Caenorhabditis elegans: one gene and its partner. The protein of the gene in region 1 interacts with the protein of each later gene in a pairwise test. Each region holds a gene or a part of one and is shown on either strand. Other genes may lie near its edges. The genes, in order: sox-3 and ceh-30.

Evidence for each region.
Region 2: the proteins of sox-3 (region 1) and ceh-30 interact in a two-hybrid assay, tested with the Caenorhabditis elegans proteins (one large-scale study listed by BioGRID).

Annotation. Positions count from the first base shown.
Region 1 is NC_003284.9:14,688,884-14,697,173, reverse strand, and holds sox-3 (Transcription factor sox-3), read left to right. Parts: upstream 1-4,174; 5' UTR 4,175-4,178; coding exon 4,179-4,382; intron 4,383-4,439; coding exon 4,440-4,565; intron 4,566-4,615; coding exon 4,616-4,924; 3' UTR 4,925-4,940; intron 4,941-6,169; 3' UTR 6,170-6,344; downstream 6,345-8,290. Other genes in the region: hch-1 (Zinc metalloproteinase nas-34), read left to right, coding at 1-441, 487-655. UniProt on the Caenorhabditis elegans protein: Probable transcription factor. Involved in the terminal differentiation of some neuronal cell types. Dispensable for neuronal fate commitment during embryogenesis.
Region 2 is NC_003284.9:3,060,334-3,068,584, reverse strand, and holds ceh-30 (Homeobox protein ceh-30), read right to left. Parts: upstream 5,012-8,251; 5' UTR 4,880-5,011; coding exon 4,696-4,879; intron 4,420-4,695; coding exon 4,164-4,419; exon of another isoform or gene 3,959-4,163; intron 3,851-3,958; exon of another isoform or gene 3,701-3,850; intron 3,698-3,700; exon of another isoform or gene 3,552-3,697; intron 3,498-3,551; coding exon 3,224-3,497; 3' UTR 3,034-3,223; downstream 1-3,033.

The DNA of each region.
Region 1 (8,290 bases):
AATGACAGCTGCCACATTCTCCCGATACTCTCCATGCACCACCAACTACCTGGAAATCAACTACGGAAGAGATTTCAGCAGAGTTGGAGCACGATTCTGTGCATCTTATCCAACTATCTCCTTATCTGAAACCAATACTCTTGTTGTGATTTATAAAGGAGTAAACGGAGCGAGGTTCTCATTGAACTATCGTTATGATCCTGTAACTTTTTCAACATCTGCCCCAACAACCACTTCCACCACCACGACCACGGCTCCAATAACGGTTCCAACCGTTTCCCCAACTACAACTACTACCAGGCAAACCACAACTACCGCTCGCACATCTACAACAACCACCACTACCCAAGCTCCACCTACGACCACCACGTCAACATCGCAATGTGCATCCTGGTCGGCTTGTTCCGCACAATGTGGAGGATGTGGAACTCAATCGAGAAGGTGACTGAATGCGATTTATTCTGATACTTATTTTATGAATTACAGATGCGGTACCTACGTGGAAACTGTCTACTGTAACACCAACCCATGTACTGGAGGATATTGCTGCCGTCCGTTCTTCTACGTAACATCGTTCGGCACTGGATACTGTAGACGGCCAGGAGCAGATACACCAGCGGCTCCACAACGATATGTTGAGCAGAGAAAAGGCTAACTTTTAGATAATTTCTCAATGTTCTTTCAATACCAATCTCAACAGTATTTTGATCAATAACAATATTTAAAATTTTAATTTATCTAATAAATACCTTTTTTCATCTTATTTGCAAACTTTTTACCCTCAAAAATATTAAAATCTATCCAAAAAACTTTAAACGAAGACAATTTCTGGAATTCCAATCTGACGTAAGATCCGATTCTTTTTTCAGTAGTTTTTCAAGAATAATTTTCAAATCCTGTTTTTTATAAAATGACGCTATTTCTACATTTCCAAGAAAAGAGGAACCAAAGCCAAATTATAATAAGTGATATTCCCAAAGGATTATGTCAAGAATCCACGCCAAGAAGAATACATGATTCAATTTACAAATCTATTATATGACTCCCATCCGGCATCAGTCAAATCTAATAAAATGTAAGCTTTGGGGGCTTTTCAGTGGTTACGGTCATCAACACAATAGAAGTCAATTGCAACAATGTTGAGCATTCAACAATGTCAAAGTTCATAAAACCCTTTATTAAATCGTCTTGTAAACTTGGCTTTTATCAAAGATCGGAAGCAAAGTGGCAGTGAGAGAGAGAGCGGCGTGTGTTTGCAAATACCGTATGACAATGGCTAATGAAGTGTCATCATTTAATCGTATGTTTTATGCTAATGGATATCAAACAATATTATGGAAAAGTGGAGTGATATGTAGAAAATGTTTAGAATAAAATCGGCAAAACTAAACATATAATCTAAATTCAATTTTTTATGTGAATAAGAACCAAGAGGTACTTATGCAAACAATGTAAAAAATATTTAAAAAAGTCAGATGGGTGGCACCAATTGACCGGTCTCCTTTTTGTTACTAGCATAAATGAGTGGAGAAAAAACCACTATTTGTGCCTACTGTACTTAAAAAAAGGGTATCACCAGTTGGCAAACTTTTGGAATTATATTACTTTAAACAATTTAAAAGTGTGTGTTTTTTGAAAAAAAAATTTAATTTACAGTTTGCATGTCATAATTTTGAAAATCAGTAAAAAAACTTCTCCGAGTATTATTTTATGGTCAATTACTCAATTACTTATCTTAAAAAGTTTTAGGTCTTCGAACATGCATAAATGTTCCAAAAAGAAAACAACTACAAATTTTTCAAAAACTTTTTAGATGCTGACAAAAAACAGAAAAAGTTTAAAAATCTATTTGTAACTTTATTCATTTATTCATTTATTCTGAGTATGTTTTCGATTAAATTCCACAAAAATTGAAGCGAGTACCTGTTAAATACACACATTTTAAGTTATGAATTTCAGCCTTCAAAAGCTGTCTGGTAATTAAAAAAAATGTTGAAACAGTGTCCGGGGAAGAAAAAATGCACGATAGACAAGTTACGTACATGATCTTCTTTCCAACCTGTGCCAATACTTTAAGCTATGTCAGACTAGAACGGTTATCATTTTCTTTTTTTTCTGAATTTCAGGACAACATCTCAACAAACAAACAAAAGTGTTAGTGGCATCTCAACTTCATCTCAATTATAAACGCCAATGAAATCTATTCAAACAACAAATTGGCTTATAATCTGCACAAAACCTTCGCGCGAGCAATCATCAAATTAACTGTTTAATCCATCACAGCTCTTCTCCTCTTTATTAACTCGTGTCCTCCAGAAGTGTTCTGAAGTGCTGGTAGTGTGGTGGGTGCCTTCGGGCGGTGTGCTGGAGAAGTGAGAGAAGAGAGGGGGATGGAGGGGCCGAAAACGAAGTTATCGCAAATTTACATTGTAGAAAGGAACCATTTTCAAGCGTGCTGGACCTCGGATCCGCCAGCTTTGTCTTTCCCATTTTTCCCTTTCTTTTCTCAATTCTTGTAAAAATAATAGTTTTTGTCATGTGAAGTGTATTGTTTTTTGTGTGAGTAGCTAATGTTTACAGGAGAGGGGTACTGTAGAATTTCAAGGTACAGGGTGAGGTACGGAGGTAATGAGTACAGAGAAAATGTAGTCTAGAACGTGAAACATTACACATTTTCCAGTTAGAGGTACAATAAGGGACTCAGTTCTCATATACATATGCCTCATAACTCATATACATATGCTTGAAAATTAAAAATAGGATAACAGTATTTAAGCATGAGCATATGCCTTATAATGCTATAATTTCCAAATATCACTGTAAAACGTTTTATATATACACAGTCAAAAAGCTTTTACCTATCATAATTTTGAAGTCGACCAAAAAACTTTTTCACTAGGAGTAGTATATTTTAATTTTTTTCCAATTGTTTTTAATAGTAGTTCAAACAAGCGGCAATACTCTAAGTACCTTGAAGCCCAAATTTTTCATATATTAAACAATTTACCAAAATTTGATTGCAAAGTTTGTTAAATCTAAAGTTTTCAATTTTTTCCTATAACATTCAATCACGTTGGATTATCTTAAGTTTATCCATACTAAAGATACTCTACATATTTATTAAAATTTCAAATTGATTTTGAAAGTTTTGATACATCATTTAGGTATTTAAAAAATCTAGTTTTATAGATTTTATATATAAGTTTCTGAATACGTTCAGGTAACAATTTAAAAATTTGTTGAGCTCAAAAACATAATTGTGCTGGAAACCATAAAAATTTTGAAATGGATTTAAATTAAGGATTTAACACGTTTGCAATTTTTTGAAATTTCTTGCCTTGCGTCCCGTCCAACTCTGTTCGGAGAGGGGTCGGAAGTGAACAATCAACATTCTAAACAGAACACGAATTTACACATTTTCAACATTAAATATTGTGCCCCATCGTCCATCGTCAACCGTCACTTTTCACCTAACTTTCCTCTGTAAAAAGTTCGATCTAAAACATTGTATCATCCAAAGTATCAGCACGATGTGTTTGTTAGCACAGTGTCATATGATGTCGAATAAGAATTCATGGAAAAAAAAAACGTGTTTGGTTTTTCTTGTATTCGTTTTTGAAAATGCTCAAACTAGGTATTCAGTGTTCCGTTATTATTAGAAAAGTCGTTTTGCTTCACTGAACTAAACTAACTAGGAACTCTTGAATAACTTTTGAAATATTGAGAATTTGCAAAATTAGTTCACAGTTCATGCTTGACTTCATTCACCTTCCTACGAGTTCTTGCAATCATTATATCAGCGTAAGTTGCTATTTCAGTAGGGTCACATAGGAGCCATCTTGAGTATCAATTTCGATTACCGTATTTCCTCGCAACTCATTTTGGCTCCGCCTACTGTCTCTCGTCTATTTGTGCGCCGCCTCTTGTTGGCCACTGAGACGAGGGAGGACACGCATAATATAGCACGCGTCTGTCTCTCTTTCTTTTTTTTTTCGGAAATTTACCATTTCCTCATTCAGGTTTTCTTTTCTCTCTTACGTTTATTTTATGAGTAGGGTTTCCAGTTCTCGGTTTCTAGTTTCTTGTTTTCAAATTATTTCCAAAGTTTTCCCGAAATTATTTGTATTTGGTATTAATTTTTTCAAAAGTTTTGTTAGCATACATTGTCTTTCAGCGGTATGACTGACCTCTCTTGTCTGTATCCTTCACTTTTATGCACTGAAGCTGCAAAAACATCTTATGACGAAGACACAACGTCTGTTTCATCTGGTTTAAGCCCTCCGGGCTCTCCAGTCGATCTACAAAACTCGCTGGATCATGTGAAACGGCCGATGAATGCATTTATGGTTTGGAGCAGAGGACAGAGAAGGAAAATGGCACAGGTGCATTTTAAATATTTAAATTTTTTAGGTTATTATGTAAGTAAGTAATTTATTCAGGATAATCCAAAAATGCACAATTCCGAAATAAGTAAACGGTTGGGTGCAGAATGGAAACAGCTATCAGAGCAGGAAAAACGACCATTTATTGATGAAGCAAAACGGCTCAGAGCTTTACATATGAAGGTAGTTTAATTACATTTTTCAATAGTTATATTATTAATTTCTATACTCAGGAGCACCCAGACTACAAATACCGTCCACGAAGAAAGCCAAAATCCTCCAATCTGAAGCAACAACCTCGTTTGAACATCGCCATGCCAACCATCCCGCCACAATCACTTTTCAACTATTCCACAGCATTCGACTCATTGAAAACCCATGACCTCTCCCAATACTACTCATCATTCTTCCAATCGCCCGTATTATCCGGCTCAACCTATGCTCCATACAATATGATGGCTGCTTATGCGAGACAAGCTGCAGCCGTGGCTGCTGCAAGTCAAGTGTCGGCTTCAACAACGCCAACAGCTCCTGCCACGTAACTTGCTGAATTGTCATGTACGTTACACTTTTTTTTGAATTGTTTAATAAGGTATAGGTATTTTGAATTAACAGAAAAGAGAAATGTTGATCTTTGAAGAGCCACATAAGAGTAAAAAATGTATCATAACAATATATTAGTCATTTCTGTATTTCTAAAATTTCTAGAAAAAGTCTTATATATGTGTTATTGACATTCAAAACTTTGAAACAAATTAATCGGTGTAGCTGAAATCCCAAACTACCGCAATCCCATATTACAGTAGTTGATTCCATTTTTGTTTTATTTTTAAAAAAAGTTACAGTCGATAAATACACAAATGTGTTGCTTATTTTTGTGAGCTTATCGACAAAAAATAAGTCAGCGGCTGTAATGAACAAGCTACCCAAATTTGAAAATATTTTATTTGAGGCTTTCCATATCAAAACTTGAATACGCAATAATAATTTTTGAAAAGTTTTAACATTAAAATTTAGTAGTTTAGGCTCACAATATTTGAGAAATTTTGAAATTTTTACTTTTAAAGATTAAGTTAATTTTAACGGTAGGCAAAGCTTTTGGGAAGAATATATCTTACGGTTTTTGTTGGCTTGATGTTCCGTTGAACTTCTAGTTGACGTTTTGCTCTTAATTCTTATCTAGTCTTGTTTCAAACTATACAAATCGCCCAACAATTTACTACACTTCAATTTTCAAATATCAACTTTCCCACAAGTCATTCATTCCTTTTCTTCCGCTATAAAGACATTAGGTGGTCGGTCACTTGTTTCCGACCGAAATCGGTTCATAACCATAAGAAACGCGTCCAAGTGTAAAACCCTCCTTTCCCCCTTCTCTTTTTGAATTAACACCACCACTAAATTCGACTCCCGCCAATTTGTGTATTGTGCACCTCGCGCACTTCCGGTTACACACGGTTACATTGTTCCATGCCAAATTCTTATTATTTTCACTTGAAGTGTATCGGTTTGATTTTTTCCAACACACAAAAAATGAATGAATGAAAAGGTGTGAGTGTATCATGCGCGAATAAGTCGAATAAGTCGCGCGCTTTGTGTTGAAATGTACTGTTTACTGAATGATTGACATATGTGTGCAGTTTAGATTTGAAGATGAGCAATGATTCCATTTTCTTATCGCTTTCGGAGAAAAGACAATAAAAATGACTCAGAATAATGATGAATAGTCTATATGTGTTTGGGAATTGTGTTTTACTTTGTATTTTAAACTACCATCTGATTTTCAGGTTTGCTCAATACCATGCTTCACCTTCAATGAGCAGAATCTCCCTACAAATGCCATACAGACAAATTGATTCTAATTTTTCGATAATTTTGATTCGAATGTGCTATGTGCAACCTACCTGTACTTTTCTATTTTGCTGTATCTTCCATAAATGAAATATAAAATTTTGTGAAGAAATAACTACAAACTTTGGGTTTTATCAATTTTATCTATTTGTCAGCTGCACTCAAAAGCTCATCACCAGGATACGGTATTTTTTTTAACGGTTGTTCAAAGTGTGCCTGCCGCAAAAGTGTACAAGAATAAATAGGCGCCCAATGTAATGTTAGTATTCAATTTTTGCGACTTCTATTGTACAACAAATTCAATACAATAGATTGAATTGTTCAAGAACAAACTTCCAATTCATTGTTGGTTGAAACGAATGAATAGAATCAAGGAAGGAAAGAAGGTATTCAACAACTTTTACTCCTCTCTCCTTTATTTTCACCCCCACTGTCCCTTGCCATTGATATTTACCATTTGCTGTCCCCTGTCACCTCCTCTGTCATTGACGACCGATACCCCCATGGAGTTACATTTTTTTTTTCGTTGAGGTTGCCTGAACAAAGAGAACAATGTCCGCACTTAAAACGCCTAATCAAATCGGTTCACACGCTGAGAAAAAAGTTGAGGGAAGTCTAAACCATTTCATGGTCATTTGTTAGATGGAAATTTATAGAAACAGGTCATGTTGCGAGAATTTTTCGACCTTAAGTTAATACTCAATTTATCTAAGTTGAAACATAAGATTTATAACTGCTTATGACATAATAATGAGCAACTTGAACATGACGCTACAGTATTTTTACCATTAAACAAAAATTAACAAGTGCTCCAGTGAATCCACGACTTATAATTTGGTCTTATCCAAACCTAGTCAAACCTGGCTATGTGAACATCAAAACTTGAACTTCCTCTTTCGAGAACGACACATCATTTAAAACTTTTTCAAGCGTTACTTTACAAGCATGAAAATATAATTAATTTTTGAAAACACGACAGAAGCACTATATGGTTGAACTTACTGTGGACGCCTATGTACTATGCACATTAAATGTAATTTTGAAACTGATAAATTTAATGTTTAAAAAAATCTCATGGGTCAGGTGGGCGTTAGATGTTTCAATATTTTGCTCTTTTTCGCTCAATTTTTGAGATATCAGGATAAGCTTGTAGATACAAAGATTTATTGGTATGCTGAATCCAATTCCGATATTAGTTTCCCATGAAAAAAGTTCGTCAACACCCGGAACCGCTCAAGTAGGCAACCAAGTTTCCGGTTGACGAAAAGTTGCCGGTTGCCCAAAGTATGTGGTTTGGGTTCGGCAACTTTGGCAATTGCAGATATGAATGCCAAACATTTTGTAGCTCAGAAAAAAGCATTGAGAAGTTGTGAAAAATGCTAGCATTTCACTGTAAACAATAAAACGACCATACTTCAAAAATATAATTTCAACGAAAAAAAACCTTGAAAAAACTTTGGCAACTGCCGGTTGCCAAAATTTTTAGGGTTCGGTAACTTCGGTAATTGCAGGTTGCCGAAAATCTTGGTTGCCGCACAGCCCTGATATACACTAGGAATATATATATATATATATTCCAGGTAACAGATTTTTAAAATAATTCAAGAAAATTGAGACGGTCCATGAAAAGCCATGTTTTATAAATCACTATTTAAATATATGCAATTGAAAAAATAGTATAAAAACTTGTGAAACACGTTATTTTAATGTATTTATTTGGTATTTAAATTCAAAATTAAGCACATCTGTCAAAATAGTCAGAAATTAATGTTATAAACACTGATATGAACACCTTGCGCCGCACAACAGTTGTCAAGTATTAAGGAAGTACTGTGGACTTACCCAACATGTACATACTCACCAGTCAGCTAGATATGATATTAAACAAAAATGGAAGGCTTTCACATAAAATTGTTACACATTTTTCATTGGTGACAAACTGTCTTGCAATTTCCAACTCAACTTCACCAAGTACTCCACAGTTCCATGTGTTGCCTTTTTGTCTCAAGGTAGCCCATAATTGTTTTCATCTAACGGAAATTTGAAAGAAAGACATA
Region 2 (8,251 bases), about 12 Mb from region 1:
ACGGTAGCGATTTCCTCACACCAAGTGCGTCAATTAGCCTTCTCATTAATAGACAATTTTGGGGGGAAGCAAAAAGTCGTCCCGCTTCCTCTCCACCTCAAACACTCTACGTTACTCGTCAAAGTGGAGGCCTTCCAACTTTCATAGCTGAGTAGATTTTCCGTAACACCTTTACAGTTGAAGATCGTCTGCCTAGGAGTCGAATAATTCGTCAATTATAGCGACACCTTTTTCGAACAATGATGCCACCCAATTTGAGAAAGGAGGTTAGAGACGCGTCCTGTACAGTTTGTCAAAACCTCAACCTTCTTTTCATTCGTCTTGTTCAATTGTTTAGCAAGATGACAATTGTCGAAGGAGACCGCAGCCGTGTATTATTGCAATTGAGTCGACTTGTTAACGAATTATTGTTCAATCATGTCATCGTTTCAGGGGTCGTTGCGAGAATGATTTATTGAACTGGTCTTCGTATTGGAATGTCAAACATTTCCTGTAAACTCATGTAACTCAACTTATTCACCATTTGACATGAACTCGTAAACTCATGTAATGTTATTGAATGGAAATTGGGAAGAATTCATCGGGGAAAAAGTTCATCTAAAAAAGAAATAAACTATAGAAATGGCAATAAAATCAGCTATTCATCTGAAACTACTCATCTCTGTCCTAATTAGTTTCCAATTTCCTCTCATAAATACCGCAACTTGTCCCGAGAACTTTACCCGGCGTCTTTCCACTATAACTTATTCCAAGCATACGGTGTCTTCCTAGGAAAAATCCGCTTTGAAATTAAAATGCGGTTTTGAAAGTGTGCATCACTTCTAGCCATTGTTCTTTTTCAGAGAATTTATATCTAGAAAAATTTGTGTGATAGTGACAGAATGATTGATTGAAATCACAGTAAAATTGCAGAGTTAGAAAAAAATGTGTGACTCCGCAAGAATTCAATTAAAAAAGCCAAAAAAAATTTTCAAAAATTAAAAAAAAAAAAAAATTTCAAAATTTTATCGCTGATCAATTTAGGATCCCACTACTTTACCTTGAAAGGTATTATCCTAGTTCCTTTGGAAATCATCAGATACGTAAAAAACATATTCTGCCAGTTGGTGAGCAGCCGAAACACAGAATCGTGATGCAAAATAGAAGAAATACGGTAAAATACTCGAAAATCTGAAAATCAAGAACTAGACAATTTTGTAATTTGTCCTATATGCAAGTGTGATCAACTGTTCAATGATCCCGATTAAAGGTGTCAAACTTTTGCCTTCCCCCATATCATACACATTTCTCCCAAATTAGCATCATCTTCATTTTTTATTCATCCGGGAGCTCATCGGACAAAGGAGACGACAGGTGTATACGTGTATTTGTCAGTGTGTGTGTGTGTGCTGAGTGTAAATTGAATCAATTGCCACCAGCCCCCTGAGCTAATTCCCTTGTAATCTTTTTATTGAGAGCAGCAGTCAATGATACATTAGGGGTGGTTGACGAGCCACATCATCAGATCACGGATCGGTGCGCAGAACATCATGATTGTCTCCGTTGTGGCATAAAATATGGGAAGAAGATCAAGTGATTGTAAAACAATCATTAGATTATCTTATTCTACCTAATCCAGAGGTTGTTAAAATAATACTAATTATGAGGTTATAATTTTTATGACCCCATCGACGGAACCAAATTCATCGGAATGGTTGCAAACTGTGTTTTTGGATGTGTTCATTCACAATTCACCCCACTACCGTTCACGGTGTGGTGTCCAATTGCTTTAATGACACCGTTCCTTCAAAATCCTATTTATTGGCGGTAGACGATTACCGTACTCGTCTCCTTTCTCCCCTGTCTATTCTCGAATTAGATGTCAAGTGGGTTTCAATGTGTATATGTGGGTGTGTGTGTGTGTGTGTGTGTGTGTGTGTGTATGTACACGACCAATTTGTCTAAAGACGAGAACGATGATCAGGATGAGGGCCTGGAGTTTCTCAAATGCGAGATTTCCACTAAATGAGCCTGGTTTTGTGGGCGACGAAAAGGGGAAACATAATAGAAGAGGAGCGTGTTACATGGAATTAGGCGTGTTAGTTGTTAGTTGTCACTGAACCGGAAGAATGCACACTTCTTGCGTGCTTACACAAACATACCACTAGCCTAACACACTACCAATTACCAATTATCTTAAGCTTACTAATGAACGACACTTGTGCTCTTCCGGGGACAAAATTGAAACAATGAACTGTAGAATGGAAGCTGCTATGATTTTTTATCCTTAAAAATTTATACCATTTCAGCAATATGAGTTAGAGAGAGCAATTATATATTGTTAAGTCAAATGTTATAAATTGAAAAATGTAGCATGATAGTAATTCTTGAAAATTTTCTAATTTGAAAGGCATCAAAATATGTACTATCGACTATTTTTTCTAGGTTCACTTTAAAATTTAAAAGTTCACAAACTTTAATTTTATTATCAAGTTAACAACAAATTTGTATATATTCGCGCCTGTAGCAAGCATTTTAACTGAGATCGTGGCGAGACCCACTCAGAAAAACAATTTGTGCCTTTACTATGAATGTCAAAATTTTGCTAAATTACTACATATCATTTTTGAAAAAAAATTTTGGAAAATTTTTATTGCGAGAAATGTTTATTGTTACTGGTGAAAACTGAGTTCGATTCACACAAAAGTACCAAAATTTCCAATTTCTATTTGAAAGGTTTTATCATGATCTTTGGACATTTGAACACCATAGAAATAAGTTTTACTAATTTCTCCACATTTTTTGAAAAAGTGAGCTAGGAACCGTCTGTCAGGTAAAGGTATTTGTCGAACAGGTGAGGTGTTAACGACGCCTGCCAAGTATTCTATCTCACATATTTACCTCTTCCGTCGCGATAAAATCAGAACGGTTGCGCCACTCGCCAACACCTGGCGCTTCTGGCACGTCTTGTGTTCATTGTATTTTTGAATGCCCCACCATCTCCAGTTTTCTTATCAGATTTCGGAAATCGTCATCATCCACGAACAGCATAATAAAATAATAATATTATTATTAATGACGTGGAAATGACATAATCAAGCAAAATAAAAATAACACAAGCGATACATATGCAATGTTGTGAAAAAAAGAAAGCGTCTTCTCCCTATCTAACCCATTGAGATCGGTTTTTGTGACTTTAATTGAAAATATTACATACAAATTTTAAAAATTAACACAAGAAATACTATTCTGAGTTGCTGGAAACATCCAACTGAGGGGATTCACTGGATATGTGAGTGGATGGAGAATTTGAAGAGGAGGAAGGCTGGAAAGCATGGGCTGGGGGAACAATCATAGACATGGGTAGGCCCATCATCGGTAGCTGAGTGCCCATAGGTAAGGCTGTGATATAGTTGGCCCAATATGGACTGCTTCTGATCAAGTTCTGAACTGCGGAGAGGTTTCCAGGTTCCGATAGAAGATCCATTCCACTTGTTGCCTGTCGCTTCCATTTTGTTCTATAAAAAACATTAAGTAATTTGAGTAATTTGAATTGCCGTATTTTGTTCCACTAGACCGGACGTCTTCACTTTTCACATCTTAATTTTTGAGTGTCCCGTTATTGTAATAATGATGTTTTTATGTCGCAACTAGATATATTATATGTATTAACCACCACTTGACTATATTCGGATTAATTCAACGCTGCCGAACCTTGGGACCAAAAGCAGGTGATCTGCCTCTTAGCGGACTCATACGCCTCATTATTGTGCAAAAGAGCAGGAGACCACCCCGGCGATAACTACACAACAATAGCGACGTTTTGAAAGGTTTTCCAGATTGTGAATGCATGGATACATTTCAAAAGAGGCACAAATTCGTCTATCCACTTCATTCACCAATGAAACCGATACTAAAAGCTGGTGAAAATTTGATGATGACGACGATGATGATGCTCTGATGACAAGTCATCACATCAAATATTCACATAGAACACCGCCGCCTTGAACAATAATTAGGAAATGTGAGCGTGGTTGGTGTAGTAATCTACAAGGGTGGGCTCAATTGGCGGCTACGCTTGTTATTAATTTGAGAATGTACATATGTATGTTAAGAATTGACTCTGCTACCAACGATAATTCCAACGATAATTCCAACGATAATTGAAAGACGTTATTACTAACCTTCTATTTTGGTACCACGTCTTGACTTGAGTATCAGTGAGACCCATTCTGTGCGCCAAATCCATCCTGTCCTGGACTGATAGATACTTTTGCTTTTCAAATGTATTCTCCAACTCTTGCAACTGCTTGTCAGTGAAGATGGTTCTTGCCTTCCGAGATTTTTTGCAACTGCCTGGACTACCCATTCGATCGCCGCCGGGGCTGCTTGCTCTTGGCGAAGTTGAAAAATCAGATTTAATTGATTGTGGCGATGGGTCTGAAAGTTGATGGTTATTGATGCACAAAAAGAACAAAACAAAAGATTGACCCCGGAAGAGAACTGTATTCATATGTTCATTAAGGCATTAATCCTTTTACCCCCCCCCCCCCCTACATTCAAACTATCATTTCCGGGTAGTCACCATTGAGAGGAGAAAATCGAGAGCATGGTTGAGTAAATTTTTGATGGGTAACGCGCCGCGCACAAAACTTTTAATGGCTGTCGTTTTGAATGTTTGGAATTTTGGAATCAATTGCAGGTGTAATGACTTACCGTGATCGTTTGAATGGGATGAATTGTTTGGGGATTGCTCGAGAATGTCAGAAATGCGGAATGAAGAAGAAGACGAAATTTTGTTGCACGGGGAAGTTGAAGCTGCTTGAGCTAGAAGTGCTTGTGTAGTCGGATCCAGATAAAAAGCGGGAAGCAGAAACTGCCGAGGGTCGAGAAGTGACATTTTGGGAAGTGAGTGGTACTGTAGAAAAGTGTTAAACGAATGCTTTGCACGTTCGAAAGTCGGGAATGCGACACTGTTGAAGGCACCGATGATTGGTTATTGTCGGACGATGAGGGGTGACTATAAGACAAGTTAAATGTGCGAGAGTGGGCGGGGCGACGGCCTGGCAATTTGGGTGAGAGAAGAGGGTGCGTTGACATTGGGAAGGATGATGCAGCAGCAGCTACCACCACCGCCCTCCTAAACATGGTCATGACAATTACACTCGATTTTCGAGATCCAACGCCACATGAGAAGTCAATTATTTGTATTTAATAACACGAAATCTATAACTTGACCTTTCATTTTGCACATCTCAGATGATGCGGGGGAAAATGATGGCGAAAATGAGATGGGGGAAGATGGTTGGGAATAGCTGCACACTGCGGCTAATTGGAGCAACCTGTCAAACGGTGGTTCTAGGGAAACATTTGATGAATTGTCAAACTTGGAAATAAACAATATGGAATATTATTCTGCCAAAGCTGGATATCGAACTCTAATTTTCAGGTTGGTGCTCGAAATGTTAAAGTTTCATTTTCACAGTTTTTCACTTACTTGCAGAAAGACCATCTTACTAATCTCCATATATAAGCTTAGTCGGTTTGTTTTTCACAAAATCGACAAAAGGTTACTCAACGTATTTTTCGGCAAAAAAAAGTTATAGAAGTTACGGTAAATTTTTGTTACGAATCACGATTTCAGTAACCTGTAGAAATACGGTGATTGTTTTTTATTTAATTTCAAATAATTTCAATCATTGTTGTAAACACTCTGTTTCCTTTTTTTCTGAATGAATACATATTTTTGTCGCTTTTCTCAAATTAGTTCTGTTTATAGTTTCATTTTCCCCCAAAACACGTAATGTTGCAATAGAGTTTCAGAATAAGGCCACTTGCCGATATTATGAACAATCTTCGCTCTGTCCTTGAAACAATGCATTTTCACATCTTAACCAGACACAAAAATAATTTGAAACTGCAAAAAGCGTTAAAATCCCATATTCGGAGTGACAAAACCCATGTAATTAACATCCACCGATTCCTATATTTCGAAGAGAAATCTACTCTGAAGTGTCGATTAATTTTGCATACTAACCGTCAATTACAAAACAAATAAAATGGTTTTTTGTTTCGCGATTCCAAGCCGATTGGCATGGAAGGACATTCAGCTAATTTTCGACCGCCCAGCTATGTACATAGACATGTTTCAAAGTCATTGCGTTCCTCATTCCGCCAGCAGTTGTTTTATTTGATAGTTCACATAAATCATTCTCATTAGCTCTTTCTTCTACTTATATATTTGCTACCTTGGTAATGTTGAGAAACAAGATGATCGTTCCGTCCTTGTATATTTAGAAGAGGTGCAAAAAGCGGAGACACTTTCAACTCAACGTAGCGTAAAATATTGGGCGCGCAGGAAGATTGACTGGAAAACGATACAGTTACAAATTGAAAAATGGGAAGTTGAAAAAAAAAGGAAAATTGGAAGTGGAAATGAAAATGCATTAGAGATAATTGTCATTTGCCATTTCCCCCACTCTTAATTGTGAACATACATCTTGACACCCAGTAACAAGAAAAAAGCTGGCAATATGAATATGAGCTTGTTTAGGAGACAGAAGCCGCCTTTGAAATCTCCCGGGTAAGCAGGTTCTATTACATAATATCGTATCCTTTCCATACAGCTCATTACAATTGCCAACATAAATAATTAGATTAAAGGACACTCCCGGAAAGGTGTCGCAGACCGGTGGGACCAGCACACACGTGGCTGCTCTATTGTGTTCTGTTGCGCAATAGAGACGCTTCTTTTTTTTTGACAATGGCAATTGAGACCAGGTAAACGACTCCTTCAAGTGTGTGAAGCGGTGTTTATCAAAGCCACCCGGCAATTGTGTCCTTTTTAGGCACCTTTTTATGTGACATGTTGACTTATAGCTTGCACCGATCAGCGGCAGGTTAACGAATACAATTGATGGAACTGCCGGAAGTGTCAGGTTATGGATAAATTTGAAGAGTTATATAGATAGTTGGAAAGATAAAACGCTGCTTTGATAAACATGAAATTTATTTCAAAATTCTTATTACTTAAATATTAAACATATATTGGAACTCGTTTTGAAACCATAGTTTCTAAATTTATTCATTAACAAATTAACTTCTAACAGTGTTAGTATACACGTGGATTTATCTGTGAATTTTGGACAATTCACTGGATTCAATTTTGAACGTTCAGGCAAAAGGTTTAGTCATATTTAATCGTATTTTATAGTTCTCAACTCATATGTGACTGATGTGTTGTTTCTAAGCATTTTTTTATTTATATTGTTTTCAAATTGAAAATTTAATTTTTGCAGTGAAGATAATGTTTTTGCAAAACTAACTTCCTATTTATTCATTGCACAAAACACTTTTATAATCAAATTTTGTCTAAAGCACAATCATGATCATAATGGCGCTTTTTTCTAATTCTCTTTGGTCTTTGAAATTATAATATTTAACTTGACAATGCGGTTTAACTATACAATTAACTATACAATATACAACTACATATACAATTATACATTTTTAAAATTCAAGAAATAAGTGAAACTCTTGCCAAACATAGTTTTATAAAATCGCAAAAATCATTTTGTTTACATAAAATTGGAATTGAAAACTCAAAATGGCTATTGATTTTCCTGAATTCTTCAGTCAAACGTCAACAACCATAATTTTTGAAAACTAGACTATCAAAGAAATTTTGAGCGTTTCAGCAAGCTCGTATTCCTATGACTTTTAAACACAATTTACTGAAATTTTATATTTTGATCTGTATATTCAAACTATTTTAATTTGACTTACATAACAAAAATTAGTGAACACAGATTACCGTATTTCTTCTACTTGTCTTGAACCCTTACGGATCAATCGAAAATTAGTCTTGCATGAAAGACTAACAGAGGAAATACGGTAGCTACCACTTTTTGATAGCAAGTACTATAGAATTTAAAAAAGTGTTCAAAGTGATAGAATTTAAAAAAGATATAGAATTTAAAAAAGTGTTCCATTTAAATAATCTCCTCTCCGATAAAAATCCACTTTAAACAGTTGTTTAAAACCTAGTAAACGTTCATTTTTTTAAAGCGTTATTTTCTCTCAATTCCTTGAACATTTTTCATTTGATTATATATATATATATATATATATATATATATCGTAGAAATCGGTGGAAAAATATATTGCGAAATACCAACTGAAAACAGTCGACCATAATTCCTCTGTTGTCAAATTTTGTACAGCTGATTAAACTGTGCATATACTGCGGGAAAGGTGGGGCCACCACTCGCAG